Linked DNA regions of Kluyveromyces lactis. The protein of the gene in region 6 binds, or shares a complex with, the protein of the main gene of each other region. Links are inferred from orthologs where the notes say so. Each region holds a gene or a part of one and is shown on either strand. Other genes may lie near its edges.

The links.
Region 1: SNU114 (region 6) and PRP4 share a complex: the UniProt entries of both Saccharomyces cerevisiae proteins name them as parts of the U4/U6-U5 tri-snRNP complex. The link is inferred for Kluyveromyces lactis from reciprocal best matches to the Saccharomyces cerevisiae genes SNU114 and PRP4.
Region 2: SNU114 (region 6) and SMX3 share a complex: the UniProt entries of both Saccharomyces cerevisiae proteins name them as parts of the U4/U6-U5 tri-snRNP complex. The link is inferred for Kluyveromyces lactis from reciprocal best matches to the Saccharomyces cerevisiae genes SNU114 and SMX3.
Region 3: SNU114 (region 6) and SNU66 share a complex: the UniProt entries of both Saccharomyces cerevisiae proteins name them as parts of the U4/U6-U5 tri-snRNP complex. The link is inferred for Kluyveromyces lactis from reciprocal best matches to the Saccharomyces cerevisiae genes SNU114 and SNU66.
Region 4: SNU114 (region 6) and SMX2 share a complex: the UniProt entries of both Saccharomyces cerevisiae proteins name them as parts of the U4/U6-U5 tri-snRNP complex. The link is inferred for Kluyveromyces lactis from reciprocal best matches to the Saccharomyces cerevisiae genes SNU114 and SMX2.
Region 5: SNU114 (region 6) and SNU23 share a complex: the UniProt entries of both Saccharomyces cerevisiae proteins name them as parts of the U4/U6-U5 tri-snRNP complex. The link is inferred for Kluyveromyces lactis from reciprocal best matches to the Saccharomyces cerevisiae genes SNU114 and SNU23.
Region 7: SNU114 (region 6) and SMD1 share a complex: the UniProt entries of both Saccharomyces cerevisiae proteins name them as parts of the U4/U6-U5 tri-snRNP complex. The link is inferred for Kluyveromyces lactis from reciprocal best matches to the Saccharomyces cerevisiae genes SNU114 and SMD1.

What each region holds. Positions count from the first base shown.
Region 1 is NC_006041.1:426,818-430,157, reverse strand, and holds PRP4 (U4/U6-U5 snRNP complex subunit PRP4), read right to left. Parts: upstream 1,881-3,340; coding exon 501-1,880; downstream 1-500. Other genes in the region: HDA3 (Hda3p), read left to right, coding at 1-444; Rab geranylgeranyltransferase BET2, read left to right, coding at 2,088-3,062; DPB2 (DNA polymerase epsilon noncatalytic subunit), read right to left, coding at 3,140-3,340. UniProt on the Saccharomyces cerevisiae protein: Involved in RNA splicing. Is required for the association of U4/U6 snRNP with U5 snRNP in an early step of spliceosome assembly.
Region 2 is NC_006041.1:436,335-438,668, reverse strand, and holds SMX3 (mRNA splicing protein SMX3), read right to left. Parts: upstream 951-2,334; coding exon 948-950; intron 837-947; coding exon 501-836; downstream 1-500. Other genes in the region: GPI-anchor transamidase subunit GAB1, read right to left, coding at 1,270-2,334. UniProt on the Saccharomyces cerevisiae protein: Plays a role in pre-mRNA splicing as a core component of the spliceosomal U1, U2, U4 and U5 small nuclear ribonucleoproteins (snRNPs), the building blocks of the spliceosome.
Region 3 is NC_006042.1:799,090-802,612, forward strand, and holds SNU66 (U4/U6-U5 snRNP complex subunit SNU66), read right to left. Parts: upstream 2,175-3,523; coding exon 501-2,174; downstream 1-500. Other genes in the region: SLY41 (Sly41p), read right to left, coding at 1-62; RNA-processing protein NOP58, read right to left, coding at 2,534-3,523. UniProt on the Saccharomyces cerevisiae protein: Component of the U4/U6.U5 tri-snRNP particle, one of the building blocks of the spliceosome. Required for pre-mRNA splicing.
Region 4 is NC_006040.1:658,908-660,936, reverse strand, and holds SMX2 (mRNA splicing protein SMX2), read right to left. Parts: upstream 801-2,029; coding exon 777-800; intron 699-776; coding exon 501-698; downstream 1-500. Other genes in the region: GNA1 (glucosamine 6-phosphate N-acetyltransferase), read left to right, coding at 1-376; MDJ1 (Mdj1p), read right to left, coding at 1,343-2,029. UniProt on the Saccharomyces cerevisiae protein: Plays a role in pre-mRNA splicing as a core component of the spliceosomal U1, U2, U4 and U5 small nuclear ribonucleoproteins (snRNPs), the building blocks of the spliceosome.
Region 5 is NC_006041.1:139,308-141,565, reverse strand, and holds SNU23 (U4/U6-U5 snRNP complex subunit SNU23), read right to left. Parts: upstream 1,062-2,258; coding exon 501-1,061; downstream 1-500. Other genes in the region: AIM36 (Aim36p), read left to right, coding at 1-310; TPP1 (polynucleotide 3'-phosphatase), read left to right, coding at 1,291-1,998; proteasome regulatory particle lid subunit RPN6, read right to left, coding at 2,092-2,258. UniProt on the Saccharomyces cerevisiae protein: Participates in pre-mRNA splicing. Part of the U4/U5/U6 tri-snRNP complex, one of the building blocks of the spliceosome.
Region 6 is NC_006037.1:603,700-607,810, forward strand, and holds the start of SNU114 (U5 snRNP GTPase SNU114), read left to right. Parts: upstream 1-1,311; coding exon 1,312-4,111. Other genes in the region: TPO5 (Tpo5p), read right to left, coding at 1-1,152. UniProt on the Saccharomyces cerevisiae protein: Component of the U5 snRNP complex required for pre-mRNA splicing. Binds GTP.
Region 7 is NC_006040.1:320,449-322,641, forward strand, and holds SMD1 (mRNA splicing protein SMD1), read left to right. Parts: upstream 1-1,267; coding exon 1,268-1,693; downstream 1,694-2,193. Other genes in the region: KLLA0_D03740g (uncharacterized protein), read left to right, coding at 1-83; KLLA0_D03751g (uncharacterized protein), read right to left, coding at 73-636; U4/U6-U5 snRNP complex subunit PRP38, read right to left, coding at 1,841-2,193. UniProt on the Saccharomyces cerevisiae protein: lays a role in pre-mRNA splicing as a core component of the spliceosomal U1, U2, U4 and U5 small nuclear ribonucleoproteins (snRNPs), the building blocks of the spliceosome. Also binds telomerase RNA and is required for its accumulation.

The DNA.
Region 1 (3,340 bases), on a different chromosome or scaffold from region 6:
TCAGAAATTAATGATTTAATGACAAAATTAGGGTCTAAAAGCGAACCACATAAGGTTTTGAAGGGTTTACTAGAAGAAATTTCAAACTTGCAAGATGCCCGCGAGAGAGAAAAACGAAATTCGGAGTCTAAATCTTCTGAGAGAACATACATGCAAAAGGAGATAGAAAGAGCCGCTCAATCTGTTGATGAAAGCAACAAAGAACAAGATAAATTAAGAGAAGAAATCAAGCTCTTGAAAACGAAAATAGAGGACAGTGTAGCCGAAAATAAAAAGAAGGTTGCCAGTGCTGAACAGAGAATAGATCTCTTGAAATCACAACTACAACAGGAAGGGCAAAATCTTGGAGGGCTTCATTCTAAACTTGGATATATAACTGATAGACTATCGAAAATTCAACCCAGCAGAGGAAGACAGGCGACTAATGGCCGATCGAAGAAATGATACGTAATTTTAACATCCATAATGATTAACGTTTTTACAAATTTGCGTAGAATTAATTAGACTCCCCATTTGTTAACTGAGCGGTCCCAACCCGCGCTATATATATCAGGACCTACAATATCAATTGACATAACCTTATCAAGATGCCCTTCAAGGCTTCGTTCCTTTATCCAGTTCCCATCATTGAAGATATTTACTTTCTTGTCATATCCACTCGACACTAAATATCCTCCGTTTTGCTTATTGAATTTGACTTGTGAAACAATGCTATTGTGAGCTAAGATCGTTTCCACATTTCCCTTTTTCCTAATATCCCAAACCTTTATAGTCCCGTCACCACTACCAGACGCAAGCTGATATCCATTTTGGGACCAGTCAACGGAATAAATAGGTTTTGAGTGTCCCTGTAATGACATGATATTTTTACCGGACCGTATGTCCCATATTAATGCAATTGCATCCAAACCAGCTGTACTCACCAATGAGCCATCATTGTGAAAAGATAGTGAGAAAACCTCCGCAGAATGACCTTCCTGAATCAAAATAGGGGCTTGTTTCACAGTATCTATCAGGATCCATGTTTTGTCAAAAGACGTACTTCCAATAAAACTATTACATGGATGGCATCGTACTTGGGCAAACCTGGCATCATTTTTATACAAGATCTTAACTGTGGTTTCATCACCACTATCATATATTACAATGCGTCCATCATGGGTACAGACAAAAATGTTTTTAGAGTCCACGCTCCAATCCAATCCACTAATCTTTGTGCCAGATAAAGATCTATTGCAGTAGATTTTGGACAACGAATTATCGACCAGAGACAAATTTCCGGACCAACTGCCACAAGCCATCAGGTCTCCACCAGGAGAAGTATTAATTTCAGAAATAGGTTTCTCATCTATCACCTGCATTCCCTTCAAAGAGAACTGTTTCAATTTACTTTCCAGGTCCCTTCGCTTACTTATGACGTTTTTCACATTTTGGCTGACAAGTCTTCGTCTCTCCTCCTCAAGCCTCAGCTTAGAGCGTTGCATAGAGTATATTATAAGAAACTTCCTCATTTCTATCAACTGCTGTGATGCTGGAGTGTAGAACTCCTCGTCTTCATCATCTACTTTACTTCTTTCAGTATCGATTTTCGTCTGGTCTTTGGAAGTTGACTCTACTAACCTTGTAACTCGTTCTCTGGCTTTTGGATCGCTAAGAATAAGATCAGAAAGTCGATCTCTGCGAGAATAATTATCTTCGCCAGCGATATCAACGGGCTCTCCCACTAGCTCTAGTGCTCGTCTAACGTCTGTATCTAGAGTAGGCACAATTTTGAGCCTTTCTTGCCTTTGGAATTCCAATCTTTTCAGAGCATCTCCGACTGATTGCCCATCCTGGTTTTTGTAGTCAACATCTACCTGCAAATCATCTAATTCTACCATTAGAAGTTACTGCAGATAGTCCAAAGGTGAGTTGTTACCGGTGCCACTTTTTTGATTTCATCTCTTTATCATCTCACTTCTTTAAAAGCATATTCATAAAATGAACTTTATCGTTATTCCTGAATATGAATAGTTCAAAAGTTGGAAAACAAGTGAGGTACTCCATCGAGTAAAAAGGGTCTGAAGCTAGGCGTCGATCGAACGATCATGAGTGAACAGCAGTTGTTAAGAGATAAACACATTGATTATATTGCGTCTTTAGATACTAAGAAAGATGATCTAGAGTACTGGCTCTCAGAACATCTAAGGTTGAATGGGGTATACTGGGGATTGACAGCCCTCTATCTCCTTGATTCTATCGAAACATTCAATAAGGAGGATGTAATACAGTTTGTCCTAAGCTGTTGGGATCATAAAACTGGTGGGTTTGCTGCGTTTCCAAGACATGATGGTCATCTATTAACGACTCTTTCAGGGCTTCAGATTTTGGCTACTTACAACGCTTTAGAGCGCTTGGGTTCAGAGAAGCAAGAACAATTGGAAAAATTTATCCTATCCAATCAAAAAGCAGACGGCTCATTCCAAGGTGATAGTTTTGGTGAAGTCGACACACGTTTCGTATATACTGCATTGAGCTGTTTGTCCATTTTACACAAATTGACGAAAGAAGTTGTAGAACCAGCAGTTTCGTATATCCTTAGATGTTACAATTTCGATGGCGGATTTGGCTTAAATCCTGAAGCAGAATCTCATGCTGCTCAGGCATTTACTTGCATTGCTGCTTTAGCAATCGTCGGAAAATTAGACTCTTTAACTCCAGCTCAGCAGGAGAATATTGCTGTTTGGCTCTCAGAAAGACAAGTTCCAGAGGGGGGCTTAAATGGTAGGCCAAGCAAACTGCCCGATGTATGCTATAGCTGGTGGGTATTATCAACACTTTCAATACTCCAAAAAGCTGATTGGATTGATTTTCCCAAGCTAACGGAGTTCATTTTGCATTGTCAGGATCCCAAAAATGGAGGGATTAGTGACAGACCAGACAACGAAGTCGACGTATTTCACACGGTTTTTGGTCTAGGAGGATTAAGTATAATGAAGTATCCAGGATTAAGAGATATTGATCCAGTATACTGTATGCCATATACGGTGACGAAATATTTCCAACGCAAGTACTCAGATTAGTGTCTTAGAAACTTAAATAAATTATGAATGCTAACGACCGCAAAAAGTAGGTCCACAAGTAGTTTAATATTGATAAATTAAAATGGTAGCTCTTCCTCTACTAGAACCTTAGAAGCAGGGAAGAATTCTATATATTTGGCAGCTCTTTTGTGAATAAATCTACCGGGGTTGATCGTTTTGCATCCGTTGTACGTTACATCGAAAGCTGGTGCGCTAGTGTCACACAGCATGATACTCGATGGAAGCGGTGATAGCTGCAATGTGAAATCAAGATCCCA
Region 2 (2,334 bases), on a different chromosome or scaffold from region 6:
AATGCTGCCACTCCATTTCATATAGAAGATGTTATAGATAAAAACCTTAAGAATGAAGCGGTGGCTCAATGGTAGAGCTTTCGACTCCAGTTAAATCCTGGAAATTTCTATGGAAACAAAATTGCAATCGAAGGGTTGCAGGTTCAATTCCTGTCCGTTTCATTTTTGCATTTTTTTTGGAAATCACTACCCCAACTCAACTGGAAAACTAGTAAGCAATAAGAAATCCATGGTGGCTGGAACAGCTGTTACACCGTGAACGAGACCTTCTTGGAATGAAAAACATAAGGTATTAATCTCTAGAGATTTTTTTAGAATGAGCCTTTGAATTGTAAAACCTACATAAACTATACTATCATTAATTATACTAATACTAATATTCCCTTTATTAAGATAAGCAGTTCCCTAATTCTATTACAACTGAGGAAAGCTATACAGTGAATCCATAATTATTCCGATGTTTCCTTGTTTGCTTCAATAATATTCAGACTAGTGCTATATTAATTCGCTTCTTCTGCGAGTTCTCCATTTTCCTCTTTATCGTCAGATTTCTCTGTTGTTCCAGTCGGCGTAGGGGGTTGATCACTTTGCTTGTTCACATCCTCTCCTACGTATAGCACGTTATTACATCTGATGAAAATGTCCCCAACTTTCCCACTTGAGACATCATTTATGATCTCTTCCGCATCTGTTAGTTGTAGATTGAAATATGTATCTACCGATACAAGTCTTCCTTTATATTGTATTTTATTGAATTTGAGTGTCACCAGCACATCTTTGTCTATCAATTGATGTAAAAAGGGTTTAGGGTTAATTGGTTTGAATTCCTCTGGATCCTGCAACGTTTAAATTGGTTAGTAAGGTGACAAAATCTGTGGATTCATCGATCGCAGATGGACATAATCGTCCTAGCTGCGACCAAAAAAGTATGGAACAAGAAAACTTACCATTTCAATACGTTAATGCGCGGGTGTTCTGATATGTATCGATTACACGATATAATTCGAGAATCTGTTAAAGGTTTTATTACGTCTGTTGGTTGCTACGTAATGTTTTCGTTGTCTATCTTTTTGCAATACTGTATTTTCATGTTTTTCAATATGGCATGGAAATATTAGATGCCCTACCAAGGGAACAAATAAAACAAACCAAAGTAGTCCGGACAGTTTTCAAAAGTTTTTATGCCATGCACTGGGTAAGTCATACTTAGATATATATTAAATAATGACAATACGATATGTTTCTTCCAACAGAAGGAACAGGGTTCATTCAAATTTGAGTCAGTTTTAATGAAAGGTTTGGTTTACCTGAATCGTATTCAATTCTTAACATGGCCCACGTCAAATCCACAATCACTGACGAGATGGCTAACGCATAAACCAAAGAAATGGCATAGAAAAAGTTACTATTACCGGAGCCTAATCCAATCCATAGGTAGTAGAAGATTGGTGACAAAATGATGGCATGAATGAATAAAAGGGTTGATATGACTGGATATCTTAGATACCCAAAGATCGGTTTGAAAAATGGGATAAAACTTAAGAAAAACCCTCCGTCACCTAACGTTGGGTATGATTTGGTGAGCGTAATCCAACCTAGACATAGAACAAATGCGTAAAACGATTGCTGATTGAATCTAATAGTGAAAGGTGGGATAAATGAAACAACAAATATGTTGAACACAGATTTGAAAAATGGGATGAAAAATTCGAACATTTCAATAAAGAAATACCACCACAACCCTAGATTTGGCCTTATCTTACTGAAAGTAATCAATATCCAGTATGTTGAAGTCAAATAGTTCCAGTTATCGTTATTTAACTTGAAACTGATCAACTGCAAAACAATCGATACCAATGTACACTTGACAACAAGGCCGAAAGAATTTGATCCACAGATTCCTGCCAATGGGATCAACAGTAGATAAGCGTAAGGTGATAAATAACCAGCCAACGCAATGCATATGGCTGACAGTGAGAACTGTCTAGATAACGCAAATAGTAAAGAAGTAGAAATGGAAAGGTTCACAAATAGACATGTCGATTGTGAGACACATGATAAAAGTACCAAAGGGTTCACTGCATAAACCACACCTGGAATATAACTAGGAATTTGCAATTGGCGTTGATATATCTTAGCTATTTGCATCAATTGATACGCTATTAGAGTGTCCATGGCCGCAAACAAAACGGGCATTAGAAACTCCGCTTGTTGAACGAATGCCATTAAAGCTACCAGCAGAGGCACATGATGCACAACACCACCATCATAAATGGGCAAATTATGCAGTAAAAGATACGCACCTTCTTGCAGAGATCTATAGCTTGTAACCGG
Region 3 (3,523 bases), on a different chromosome or scaffold from region 6:
GAAAATGTTTTATTGATCGAAGGACGGCGCTTCGAAGTGACGCTCTTGGAAGTTACAATCATTTTTCGCTTATTTTATTCACACCTTCTTAAAATCAATAAAGCGAGTGGAACGAAGTTGAATGAGAATAATTTAGCAAACGATAGAATAGATCGAAAAGAACTGTTACTTTATGGAGCGAGCAGCGATTTTAGAGCCGACTGTCACTATGTAAGAAGTATCTCTTTCTATTACAAGTCGCCAAAAATTGATGCCATGTTATTATATTATATATTTCCAGTCTTTTTTCTTTCTTTCTGACCGATGTGATGTTTTTGCTTGCTGACGTTGTTAACGTTTTTTGGCAGTCACGTGGAAAGCCAAGCACAAAGGGTTCTCTGCAGAATGGTGCTAGCTCGTGATTGCTGTGGGCAGAGCAAGACAATTTTCTAGGAAGCGTCAATTCAAAATGCCATAGGTTTTAACTCTAATTACTTTGAATAAGTGTGATATGTAAGGTTCTATAGTCCCAAGTATGAGTCTCTTTCCAATTGTTTCTTTCTGTCCGCCATTTTCTTCCGTTGTCTTTCCAAAGTCTTCTTACTGGATTTTGTCCCATGCCATGCTTGAGAAAGTTGTTTATAGGCCTCTTTAGTTTTCAACTCATTACCCTCGGAATCCTGATATGCGAGTTCGACCGTTGGGTTGTAGTCTCTTAGTTTTTCCTCTTGTATACGTTGAATTTTCAATGCCATTTCTTCCGCTTGCGCAGCTTTAATCTTACGCAATTCGTCCTCAGAAAAGTTTACATCATTGGAGTCCAACTTTTCGTCAACAGTCTTAAGGGAATTCACAATGCCGTTTAAGATCTCAAACTCTTTCCTGACATCCGTTCCGTGTTTTTTACTGTCGCTTCCCATATTGGGGCGATCGTCTTGCTTAATTATATTTCGTTCCTTCAAGAAGTTCAACATTCCTGCCACACCTCCTGAGAAATCAGGTTGCGTGATATCGTTATCGGTGACTAATGTTGCTGGAATAGTTCCCGTTTTATCTTTTTGCACTGGTTTCAAATCGATTTTTATGGGCAAATCATCATTAACAGGTTCTCTGTCAAGAACGTTCGCCTTCAAAGAATCCAAAAATTCATCGGTTTCATCCAGAAGAATTCCTTTATCACTATTGTTCAACATATGAATTCCTTTGCTTCTTTGCTGTCCTTCGAGTTTTTCCAACTCCAATGAATTCTTTATCCCTGTTATTTCCTCATTACTGCGTTTCTGTTTGACTTTGACAACTGCCTGAATTGGCCGGTCTGAGAAATCCTCATCATCTTCCAAAAGATCAACTTTCACCATTCTCGCTGTGTCTATTCTTCTCGGTTTCTGGTTTTGATTTGATTTCTTCTTTCGCCTTTTAATCTTGACTGGTGCGTAATCTTGATATGGTTGCTCATCATCTGAGTCACTTTCAATTTTGACCCTCTTAGGGAGAGACTGGTGAACAGGTAATGGTTTATCATTTACTAAGGAGTCGTGTAATGGTATGTCAGATCTTGAGTTTGTATCATTAGCCTCATCGCTGTAATCAAAGATGGAGATTTTGTTTAGTTTTCTATCTTTATTCAATTGCCGTAGCTTAAGATTTTTGGCATCCTGTTTATCATGAACTAGCTTCTCATTCTCTAATATGTTTTCGTCATCAATATTCTCTTCGTCGTTTGTCACTGAAGTTTCTTTCAATGTAAAAATGACTGCTTTCTGTTCAGCAATAGATTTCAGTTCATCTGATACTGGGATATGGTGATGCGTAATGTCATCATGTACAGTAGCATTTTCAGCAGAAGATTCTTTGTGAGTGATAGGTTTCCCAATTTTGGAAAGCCAGTCATCAATAGATTCTTTATCAGTAGTCGCTCTTTGGTCCACTGCTTCCTTTGATTCATATATTCTTTGTTTTAGTTGACCAATCTTTTTATCACGATCTTGAGCGCTTCCATTTATTTTTCCAGAAGCACAATCCTTTTCGGAGGGACGTGAACTTAGCTGACTAGATCTTCGTACTTTCCTATTTGTATCAGATGCACCTTCTTTTGATTCTGTTGACGTCTCAGTGGGCCTAGGTATAGTCTTCAAACCTAAACTTGCCCTAATTCGATTTGTTTCTTCCAAAGATATAGAAGTAATCTTACCCATGGCTTTGAAGTAACTGTATGCCTCGTAGAATTCGTATTGTGGTCGAATATCCTTATTATCAAATCCTGTTGCTTTCTTTCTGCCTCATCTCATCGCCAACTTGTCCGAATTTAAGAATTGTATATTTCAACATTTTCATCAGTGAATATTTTGATGTAACTATCAAAGCCATTGACGATGACAATGAGAAGAAGAGTACAGCGTATGACAATAATTCAATTATTATATTTTGTTTGAATTTGATACAGACTAATTTACAGAGGTACACACATAGTATGTTCGTATGTAATGGAACAGATTTATACGAGGTTATTAGAGATTTAATGCAAAAGAGTGGGGTTTTAATGTGAATACTATATCTATTTCTTTTCCTTCTTAGATTTCTTATCCTTTTTTTCTTTCTTTTCCTTCTTTTCCTTCTTTTCCTTCTTGTCTTTCTTCTCCTTCTTAGACTTCTTAGATTCCTTAGACTCTTCATCATCGTCTCTCTTTCTCTTCTTATCCTTCTTATCCTTCTTAGATTTCTTTTCTTCCTTGGTTTCTTCCTCGTCCTCGGATTCATCATCAGAGTCAGCAGGAGCAGCAGCTGAAGACACGGTGTCAGCATCTGCGTTGTATGCTCTAGCCTCTGTGATTTCAGTCTTCTTGTGCTCACGGACGACCTTTGGTGTGGTTCTCAAGTCTCTGCCTTCTAATTGGGACAATCTTGATTCTACCTTAGCTCTGGATTCCAAACCGATGTCACCAGAATCGTCTCTATCTTCAGCCAAAGCATCGTAACGCAAAGAAACGGCAGCCTTAGCAGCCAAAACTCTGGCAATCTTACCCTTGTTCTTACCAGATGCTTGGCCAACCAAGGAAGCGTGGTACAATAGACCATATTTAGGAGTGTCATGCTTAGTTTTCAATGCTCTGAAAAGAGCCTTTTCAGCACCCAAGATTTGGATGGTGGAAGCTGGAGACTTGGCCAAAGAGATTAAAGAACCAGAGTGTGCGATCAATCTAGCACCAACCAATTCACCAACTAATTGAGTCAAATTTGGAGCAATAGCCTTCATTCTTGAAGACAAATAGTTAGAAAGTTGTTCTCTGTAGGCAGCAAATTCAACAATTTGTTCGGCTAAACACTTGATATTAATCAAATCAACTGGGGTAATTTCAGTACCCATGGAGACTTCGGCAGCGGTCTTGACTCTCTCTTCAATTTCTTCAGGCAAAATTTCAGACATGTCAGTTTCAGCAGCATTAACTCTAATACCCATGGTCAAGATTATTCTGGCGTAAGCAACAGAATCAGTAACAATCTTGGCCAATTCTGGGAAATGCCAACCGTACCATTCCTTACATCT
Region 4 (2,029 bases), on a different chromosome or scaffold from region 6:
TGGTGATGTGAGCCAAGATCAATTCCATTCACTAATAGACCATTGGGATTCAGTCACGATAGGAGATATACCTATGTACAATAGCACTGTGATCGTTGACACAAATGGGGAAGTTGTCGCCACAGGAAACGTGCTAGTCGAGAAAAAAGTTATTCACGAATGTGGGCTTGTTGGTCATATTGAAGACATTGCAGTGAGAAAAGATCAACAGGGGAAGAAATTGGGATTGATATTAATTCAGTATTTATACAAATTAGCTAACGAGTATGGATGCTATAAAGTTATTCTTGATTGTGATGAAAGTAATGTTGGATTCTATGAGAAATGTGGATTGAAAAAAGCTGGTGTCGAAATGCAAATCAGATTCGACAAATGATGTTGTAACCAGTGTGCGCTCTATCATATCTATCCTTCCTTTCTACTAGCATAATTCATTGTACGTAAATGTCACTAAGTAAAGTGTTCCGACACATTGAGTTGTATTTGTCTCCCTTCTGCTCTTACAAACTGTCAAGAGGTTCTATCGATACAATGGAGTTACCTCTAACAACAGTCTGGGGTCCCATTTGGACCTCTCCTTCTTCGAAAATCTGTATTGGATTATCCAGTACTAAGTTCAAAAATGCATCATATCCTCGTAATATTCCAATAATTTTCCTATTGCCGTTAAGCTGTAGAATGAGTTTCTTGTCCATGTACTGTTTGCAACGAATCATATTATAGTTAGTAATTTAAATTCTGATAAGATTTTTCCTGGAAAACAGGGGTAAACATACTTTTCTCAAATCTGGAGATGTCATGGAATATTGGATGGTTTATAATGGGTCGTACGGAAGTGATAAGTCGTAGATATAGTCTCTTAACTCTTGGCAAAAGTCCTTCGAAATTTATCTTCAGTATATTTCAATTGATGAATTTTGTACATAATTATGCTTTTTCCATTCAAAAGTAATTTTCAATGTCACAATGTTAAGAAGACAACGATGGTCAGAATAAGTTACTAAAGCATATCGACCCTTACTGAAAACATTCGTTGTCATTGGCATGAATTTCAATCCCGAGCTAAATATGGTAAGTAGGGATAACTAGTAAGAGAATATCAAAACGATAAGTATTATGCGCTAAGTGCAATTATATATATATATAGGGAAATTGGTATTTACATGATGTTAAAGGGTTTTATAAAATAATGTGCAGTATATGCAATTACTGGCTATGACTGCTGTAAGTGGTACATGAATAATGAGAATGCCAATGTCGTAATTAGTTCATCCAATCAAAGAATTATGAAAGAATGAAGGTGGAATGTATGACGGGAGAGCATATATGCGATTTAAGGATTTCATTCCCCTCTGATCTTCTTTAAAGTGTTAGACAAGAAATTTTCCAATTTCTTGATGGTTCCTTCATTGTTTTCAACTGTGTCTTTATCAGCAGAGGAAGAGTTGTCCTTAGCCGACGATCCAGAGGGAGTAATGGTCCTTCTTGCAGTGGTATCATTGGTCAAGTGGGCCAAGGTCTCCCATAGATAACGTTCTGTTTCATCCTTTGGTTTTTTGATAACAATCTTGAACTTGACAAGCATGTCACCCCTGTCACCTCTAGCTCCACGAGGGACACCCTTATTTGGAATTCTGATGACTTGATCGTGTTGAGTACCAGAGCTGACCTTCAATCTGATCTTTTCTTCCTCTACGGTGGGTACTTCAATGACGCCACCTAGTGCTGCCGTTGTAATTGGGATTTCCTGAGTGTAAATGATGTCGTAATTATTTGAAACTTGGAATCTTGTGTCTTTCCTGACTCTGACACGAATCAACAAATCGCCTCTGGTTAAATGCAATTCAGATTTCATGGACGGATCGATAGCCATACCGGGGTAACTACCTTGGTTAGGTACTCTAATTGTGTCACCGTCCTGAAGTCCGTGAGGTAAGTCTACGGTGATAGTTTTATTTGAATTCAATTTGAAACCGTGGCTATGACAGGTACCACATTTATCGCTGTCCTTAATAGTTGAACCCTCACC
Region 5 (2,258 bases), on a different chromosome or scaffold from region 6:
TGAATTCTTCAGAAATAAGTCTGACGATAAATATTATGTGCTTTTAAATGATTTATATGAAAAGGAGGGGAAATCGTACATGGAAAAACTACCAACAGGTCTCTCTGTCGTCTTGATAGGTAAATATATGAAGGAGAAATGTCAAAAGGGTGACACTGTTTATCTACTTGACTTCCCAGACAATATAAAAGATGCGATCAAGTTCGAAAATGAGGTTTCCGTTATCGACAAAGTTATTGTACCAAATTCAGAAGGAGACGGCCAGGTTTCCAAATACTTTAAAACCGTGGATAAAGTTGAGACCATCTAAAATGACCCCTCATGCCATTTTCCCCATCGGCACCCTTTTGCATATATCTGGGGACTTCCTATAACAATCCATCCAACTTTATCTCGATTAAACTTTGTAAATATCATCAGTATCTAATTGCCATTCAGCAGAAGTACGTTGTGAATAGTGGGATGTAGATATGCTTCGAATAAAAACGTCAATATTTATGTTATTTCTTGGAACTTCCGAATTCTGTGAAACCCATTAACCTGCCGATTTCAGACTGTGGTTGATATTTGATTTCTGCATCAGATTTCTCACATTTGACTCTCTTTGCCGCTTTGCGTTTATTGGATCTCAATTCAGTGTCCCCGATAAATGCTGATACAGATTTATGAAACTGGGATCGTACCTCATTAAGTGGTACTAGATCATTATCCCTCGTATCTTTTATCAATGGCTCGTTGAATATGTTCTCAAACCGTACAACATGTGATTTGTGATTCAAATGGTTAATGAATTGTAGTGTGTCTTTGAAGGTTAAGTCACATATGTCACAGTAAAACCCGAACTGTTTACCTTTTTTCTGCTGACTTAGATTGGCTGATAACGTCTTTTTATTGATGTCGCGTAGATTATACTCGAGTAAAGCATTGTAGTCTGTGTATCTATCTTTTAAAGCTTTCAGTTGTTCCTGGTCTAATGATGAAAGATGAGATTGCCCTCCTGGAGAAGTTGCTGCCTTGGCAGCATACTCTTCTCTATTCCATGTTCTTCGTCCAAATGACATATTGATTTATAGTGAATAGTACTCCTTCTCAGAACTCAGTACCTGATCTCTTCCTAGGTCATGGAACTTATTATGCATGTCAACATTAAATTAGTTGATGTTTTCCATATTGGATCTTTTAAGTCATTTCATCTCAAAAGAAGGCATAAATGGAACTACAAATTAGTAAAGTACAAGAGTATTTCAAAGGAGTCAGCCATTGTCATATTAATTGTAACAGTTTGCTATCATGTCACAGTCTACTCATAAGCTTACCATTCTCCCTCATATCATAAAATGGGTTCCCAAAGATCCCGCCCCTGTAAGGAAGGTCATCTCATTTGACCTTGATCACACCGTGATCAAACCAGTTAAAGGCCGATTCAGTAGGACATCAGATGATTGGATATTCATGAAATATGGAAAAACCGAGGTACTTGCTAAACTTTCGGCACAAATGAAGGAAACACCAGATTTTCACATCGTCTTCTTCTCCAACCAAGGCGGTGTTGTTAGTGAACCTAGAACCTCTAAAAGCTGCGTAAAACACGTTGATAAAATTTGCAAAGTATTGAAATACATATCGGAAAACGATTCTCAACTGTGTGATCGTATTTGGATTTACTGTGCTACTAAAAAACCAGCTTCCCTTTTTGGTGGCAGCAAAGCCGCCAGCACTGCTCACGCAAATAAAGTTGTTAAGAACATTATTTCTGGCCAGAAGAAAAGAATAAACGGGACAATGGTAACACCTGAAATGTTTGATAATGTGAGAAAACCCAATCGTGGTTTGTTTGATGAATTTCTTAAAGATTCTGACGAACAATCGGACTCAATTGAACTTTTATTTTACTGCGGGGATGCTGCAGGAAGACCAAATGATTTTAGTGACAGTGACAAAGAGTTTGCTAAAATATTGGGCGTACCTTTCAAGGTACCGGAGGAATACTTTATTTGAATTTCGAATGATCTTAAACCTACGTAAAATATATTTATTTACTAAGTTACTTTAATGATTGAAGGATGAGCGTATTATAATGAATTTTTAATTTTAGTATAATACAGCGGCTTTTTCAAAGAGTTGTTCTACAACTCCATTGAGTTGATTGATCAATTCTAACGAAGAATCATAAGTGGCATCCTGTTGTGGTGTCTCATAAATATAAAGCCATCCGTTTCCTTGGTCAAGCACACCAAAGAAAACTTTGTCTAAAATCA
Region 6 (4,111 bases):
CAAGATCAATAGAACAAGGAAGATGGAAACGAATAACGATTTAGTAGATTTTGTGAAGATAAGCACGATGGGCATGACACCTTCATGATTCATTACCTCAGAGACATCAGGTAGAATGAGCATCATTGGGATCAAGAAAAATAGTCCGGAAACTAGTGAGATTATCACAGAGCGTGTCATACTGTAAGGAATATCTTTCTCTGGTTTCTCAGTTTCGTCAGATAATGCCGATAACATCGCAAACCCTTGGAAAGTGAAATTAGATTGCTGAAACCCTCCAATTAAAAATGACAAGGCCATAGAACTATACCCCGACAAACTATTATCGAATTTGGTAAAGACATCCTTGAATGATCTATGGTTTGGTTGGAATAATAGGAGAAGTGTACTTGTGAATAATATCGCATATAAGATCCAGTAAACACAGACCTTATTGATAGTTTCAATGAAACTTGAAAATTTTAGATTAATGACTCCAACCACAGTCACAATGAGATAAAACATTAGCACAGTCCATAACGTCAACCACCGGGAGTCTATCAGAGATTCATTAGTCATTGTCAGCAAAGAAATAATCAATTGTGCACCCGCAAACGTAATACTAGTGCTCATCGTCCAACTTCCAAACAACATTAGCCAACCACAGTACCAAGACATACGCAACCGAAGTCTGCCAGGCGCAAGCATGGCCGCTGCACCGTGAAGTTCTATGGGGTACTTCGAGACTATCTCACTGAGCGACAGTGAACTAATCCACGTCATTATCCCACATATCAGATACCCAAATATTATCGATGGAGATCCACCATTTAGCAATCCAATACTCATAGTAGTGCTCATACCAAGTACGGGACTCATCAACCCAAACCCTAGACCAATAACAGAAGTCCGCGAAAGTAAATTCTTGTCAAGTTGCTGTACATATGTAAACTCTTTAACCTCATCGGGAATATCCTGGTCTTCCTCGTTCAATAAAGACAACAATCGCTCGGGAATGTGTATGTTCCCGTTAAGATTAGAAAGCCAGATGTATTCAGGCATTTCAAAATGCAGTTCGGCTCTGTGTGACCCCTTGGTAAGCTCACCCTTTTTATTTCCTAGAACCCTTTCGGCATCCGTCTTGGCAAAATGTCTGTCTTTTCGAGGGCTCATCGATATTTTCAGTTCTTAGACATTATGTAAATGTTGACGAAAGTCAAAGCTTCGAGTAATGAAGATAGAATGATAAGCACATGCATTGCTCTTAGGGAAGACTACTGCGATTTGGGTGACGTGACTCAGCACTGAGTACTTTTGGAAGGAAATACAATAATGGATGAAGATTTGTACGATGAGTTCGGTAATTTCATTGGGGATCCAATGCAATTAATCGATTCTGATGATGATAGTTTGGAAGAAGTAGGAGAGCAGGAAGCTCAACATGAATTACGGCAAAAGATAGTCGAGGCTGACTCTACCGATGTGGTACTTCGAGATGTGAACCGTGATTTCGATGATGATGTTGAAGTTTTGTTGGAAGTGGAAGATAGAGAACCTGAGAAACCATTGATTGGGGACGATTCGAAATCATATAGCGAAGCTGTTAACAGGAAAGTACCTAAAGCACTATTTGACAGAGGGTACTTGAAAAGCCTTTTCTCGATACCAGAACGTCAGTTAAATGTTGGAATTTTCGGGGCGCTACATTGTGGTAAGACTTCTTTCACGGATATGTTTGCGTTAGATACTCATCGCAATCTTCCGTCCTTGACAAAAAAAGTTAAGGAGGGATGGGTACCGTTTAGGTACCTCGACCAAGCGAGGATAGAAAAGGAACGTGGTATTTCGCTTAGATTGAATGGTATGTCGTTTGCATATGAATCGTCAAGAGGACGTACGTATGCAGTGACGATGTTGGACACACCTGGACATGTAAATTTTTGGGACGATGTCGGTATTGCTTTGACTGCTTGCCAATATGGTGTAATCATCGTTGATGTGATAGAAGGAATTACTTCTGTAGTTTCCAAACTGATAAGAGAATTGATAAGTAATGGGATCCCCTTTATCATCGTTCTTAACAAAATTGATAGATTAATTTTGGATTTGAGACTTCCTCCTACAGACGCATACAGCAAACTACAATATATCGTGAACGAAATAAACACATATACCAAAGAAAGATTCTCACCGGAGCTAGGTAATGTACTCTTTGCCAGTACCAAGTTTGGATTCTTATTCTCTGTGGAGTCTTTTGTGAACTCATTTTACGCTAAATCGTTAAAGGATAAGACAGAACAATTTGCTGCTCAACTTTGGGGTCAAATTAATTACAGAGAAGGAGCATTCTACCAAACAGAATTTATTACGGACAACATTGCATTCATTCAGTTTATTTTACAACCTTTATACAAGGTTTTCACTCATACATTATCTGCATCCGAGGAAGAACTAAGAACAGTCATCGAAACCAATTTTCAAATCAGGCTTTCAGATGAGATTCTATCAAAGGATCCTCAGCCGCTACTTTTTAGCGTGTTTCATGCTATACTACCGCACTATCACTGCTTCATCGATGCTATTGTTTCAACACAGGACCACAAAATCAACAACTTATCATCCGATGAAAGCACTGTTGTACATGTATTGAGACACATGAGCCTGGAAGGTTCCAAGTGGTCCCTTTGTCGGATAATAGAGGGCTCAGTGAAAAAAGGCAACAAACTCTATATTTTCAATGAGTCCGTAGACTCTGTAGTAGATTTTGGTGATGATGAATACTCCAAGGTTACTATTGAGCGTGTAGCCTTAATGGGAGGTAGGTATGTCTACGAACTCGAGGAAGCAATAAAAGGACAGATTGTACTTTTAAAAGGTTTTGAAGATCAGTATACGAAATATGCAACTTTGTCTTCGAGCTTGATGAACCCGCTAGCACCAATTAACTATCTCAACGAATCGGTGTTCAAATTCGCCATACAGCCTCAGAAACCAAGTGAACTACCGAGACTATTGAACGGTCTTCAACAAGCAAACGAATTGTACCCTGCATTAGTGGTTAGAGTTGAAGAAAGCGGCGAAAACATCATAATTGGAACAGGAGAACTTTACCTTGATTGCGTGATGGACGAATTACGGAAAAAATTCTGTGAAATTGAGATCAAAGTAAGCCAACCGCTTGTGCAATTCACGGAAAGTTGTCAGAACGAATCGTTCGCGTCAATTCCTGTAAAGTCAAACAACGGTGTAGTATCACTCAGCGTTATGGCCGAAAAATTAGATGGAAAGATAGTACACGATTTGACGCATGGTGAAATCGACAGTTCAGAATTGAATAACATGAGAAAGTTCTCCAAACGTCTAAGAACCGAGTATGGATGGGACTCATTGGCAGCTAGAAACTGCTGGGATTTATCAAAATGTAATGTATTCATTGACGATACTCTACCTGATGAAACGGATAAGCAACTACTCAAGAAATATAAAGAAAACATTTTACAAGGGTTTGAATGGGCTGTGAAAGAAGGACCATTGGCTGATGAAACAATCCATGCATGCCAATTTAAACTCTTGCAATTCAAGGTACAAGAAGACAGCATCGAAGATATCATCCCATCTCAACTAGTGCCAATGACGAGAAAGGCATGTTACATTGCGCTAATGTCTGCTACTCCAATTATCATGGAACCCATCTATGAAGTCGATATTATCGTATCGGGGGTATTGGAGTCTGTGATTCAGAATTTATTGAAGAGACGCAGAGGTGGAAGAATTTACAAGACAGAAAAGATAGTGGCATCACCATTCATAGAAATAAAGGCTCAATTACCTGTCATCGAGTCGATTGGATTTGAGACAGATCTTCGTGTTGCGACCGCCGGTAGCGGAATGTGTCAAATGCACTTTTGGAATAAAATATGGAGAAAAGTGCCAGGTGACGTACTTGACGAAGAAGCCTTCATACCGAAGTTGAAACCAGCGCCTGCTGCAAGCCTAAGCAGGGACTTTGTGATGAAGACAAGACGTCGCAAGGGTTTATCTGAAAGTGGTCACATGACTCAAGACGGGCCATCATTAAAGAAATACATTGATCAAGATCTATTCAAGAAGTTGCAACAAAAACGATTTGTAT
Region 7 (2,193 bases), on a different chromosome or scaffold from region 6:
AAGAGAATTTGCGGAGAGAGATTCTTTCCTTGAAGAATGAAAGTAATATTTTATCAGAATGGATCAAGACCCTTATTTCTTGAATTTCTTCAAATAAATATTCTGAGCCGTACCCAGAATTGCGTATGCCAAACTAAAAAATACGGACCATTTATCTGGTGAAATGTATCTTTGAGCAATTGACATCAATACCGTTGATGTTGCCAAGCTGGAAGACAACATTGCCGCATATCTTGTCTTGATTGCGTGTATAATTTTTGTTTTGTCAACCTTACCGTTGTTAACAGAAGTCAAGGTAAATAGTAACCCTAACACTTGAATAGGCGATACCATGCCTAATGAGCAGCCTAACTGGACCAAGCTTCTATATTTGGATACCACTTTCCTAATTGTGTATTCGTTTATCCATTTGTAACTGAAATGATTAACTGGTGCGTTAAATAGACCACCATATAGACTCATCAATGCCACTTTGATCCAATTTAGCTTCTCTTTTCTTTCCTCTGGAGACAGACTAACCCATTGACTGAACAGTTCGCTTAACCCAGTTAATACCGCGCCTGTTATGCATTTAGTTAATAACGGGTTACGTTTGAGTAAAATATTATATCTCTTCAAGATTACTGATGACGACATGTTTACTCTTGGCGTTAATCTTTAATACTCCCAATCTCTCGATGCGAGCAGCAGTAACCTTGAAAGCTTGCGATCCATGAGATATGAAAAGAGTAATATCTGACTTTAACATCTATATATATATATATATATATATATCCAGATTTTATCAAAGCAATGACTGACAGAACGTTTTGTTATCGCTTGCATGGATAGTTTCTTATCGCACTTCTCCGTGTATCTGTTAACCATTTAACATGAGATGCAACGGATCTAAATACTTTTTGGGTTCCATGTAAGATTCGAACACATGCTCGCTCGAATGTAAGAAACCATTGGAATCTCACGCAAATGAGTTACCCTGTTAAGGCACGTGATAATATGAAATTTCCACTCTTTTCCAGGAAAGAACGACCCCATTGATTCTTGAGTATCAATTTGAACCATTTCATCCATCATTATGTAGAATATGTCAATTGAGTAACTACGATCAAATCCTGATCTTTTATCAAAATCAGGAAGTTGCTTGTGGATCATCTGTTACTTTTGCAAAATTCAAAACTCTTTTTCATCAAAACCATTTGAAACTGGTAACAGCTTTCTGGTGTATCTTTAGTCCGATTGAAACAACGAAGTTTTATATACAGACAAAATGCAGTTAACAGGGTTCTTAAAGAAACTAAAGAATGAAAGGGTGTCTATAGAGTTGAAGAATGGTACCACTGTTTGGGGAATAGTGAGGAGTGTGTCACCGCAGATGAACGTCTCTCTTACTGACGTCAGGCTGACACTCCCTACTAAGACCTCAGAAGCTACCTTGGCTGCCGTCTTATTGTCAGGTGGATCGACACAAGGACAAGAATCTAAGAGAACAACTAGCCTCGAGTTCATCAACATTAGGGGTAATACGATAAGGCAGATTATTTTACCAGATAGTATCAATTTGGATGCGTTGCTTGTAGACCAACAGGAAGTCAACAGGTTGAGGAAACAAGGTAAAGTGGGAAGTGATCCGAATAAGAAGAGATCACTTGAGAGTAACGGGAATGCTCCTAAACGTCCAAAGAGGGCATTTTAATATACATCAGAAAACATATGTGGAAATAAATATGTAGTGATGTTATGGACTTTGTTTTGATGAATGATTAAACACTATTGATAATTATCTTTCATAATGAATAGCCGTTCTTTCCAGTCGATGCCTCCAAAAAAAGAAAGAATGGAATCAAATTTGATCACTGTCATCTCTTGGATCAGAGCTGGAGTCCGAGTCGCTTGAGCTCTCATCGTCCTCTTCATCGTCCCATATTTTACACCAATTGCATTTTCCTAAGGGGATGCCCCAAATTTCATTCCTGTCGCATAACCAGTCTATCAACTCATCGAAATGTATCAATTTAATCTCTTTTTTAATCGATGATGACCAACAATCCATATCTAACGAGTAACTTTTTAATTTTCTATGATCAAGTATATATTTCTTCATTAAATCATGTAATAAATTGAACGATATATCTTGCTCGGAAGGATTACTCTCAGTTAAGAAATAATACGAGATTCTCATATAACATAATACCA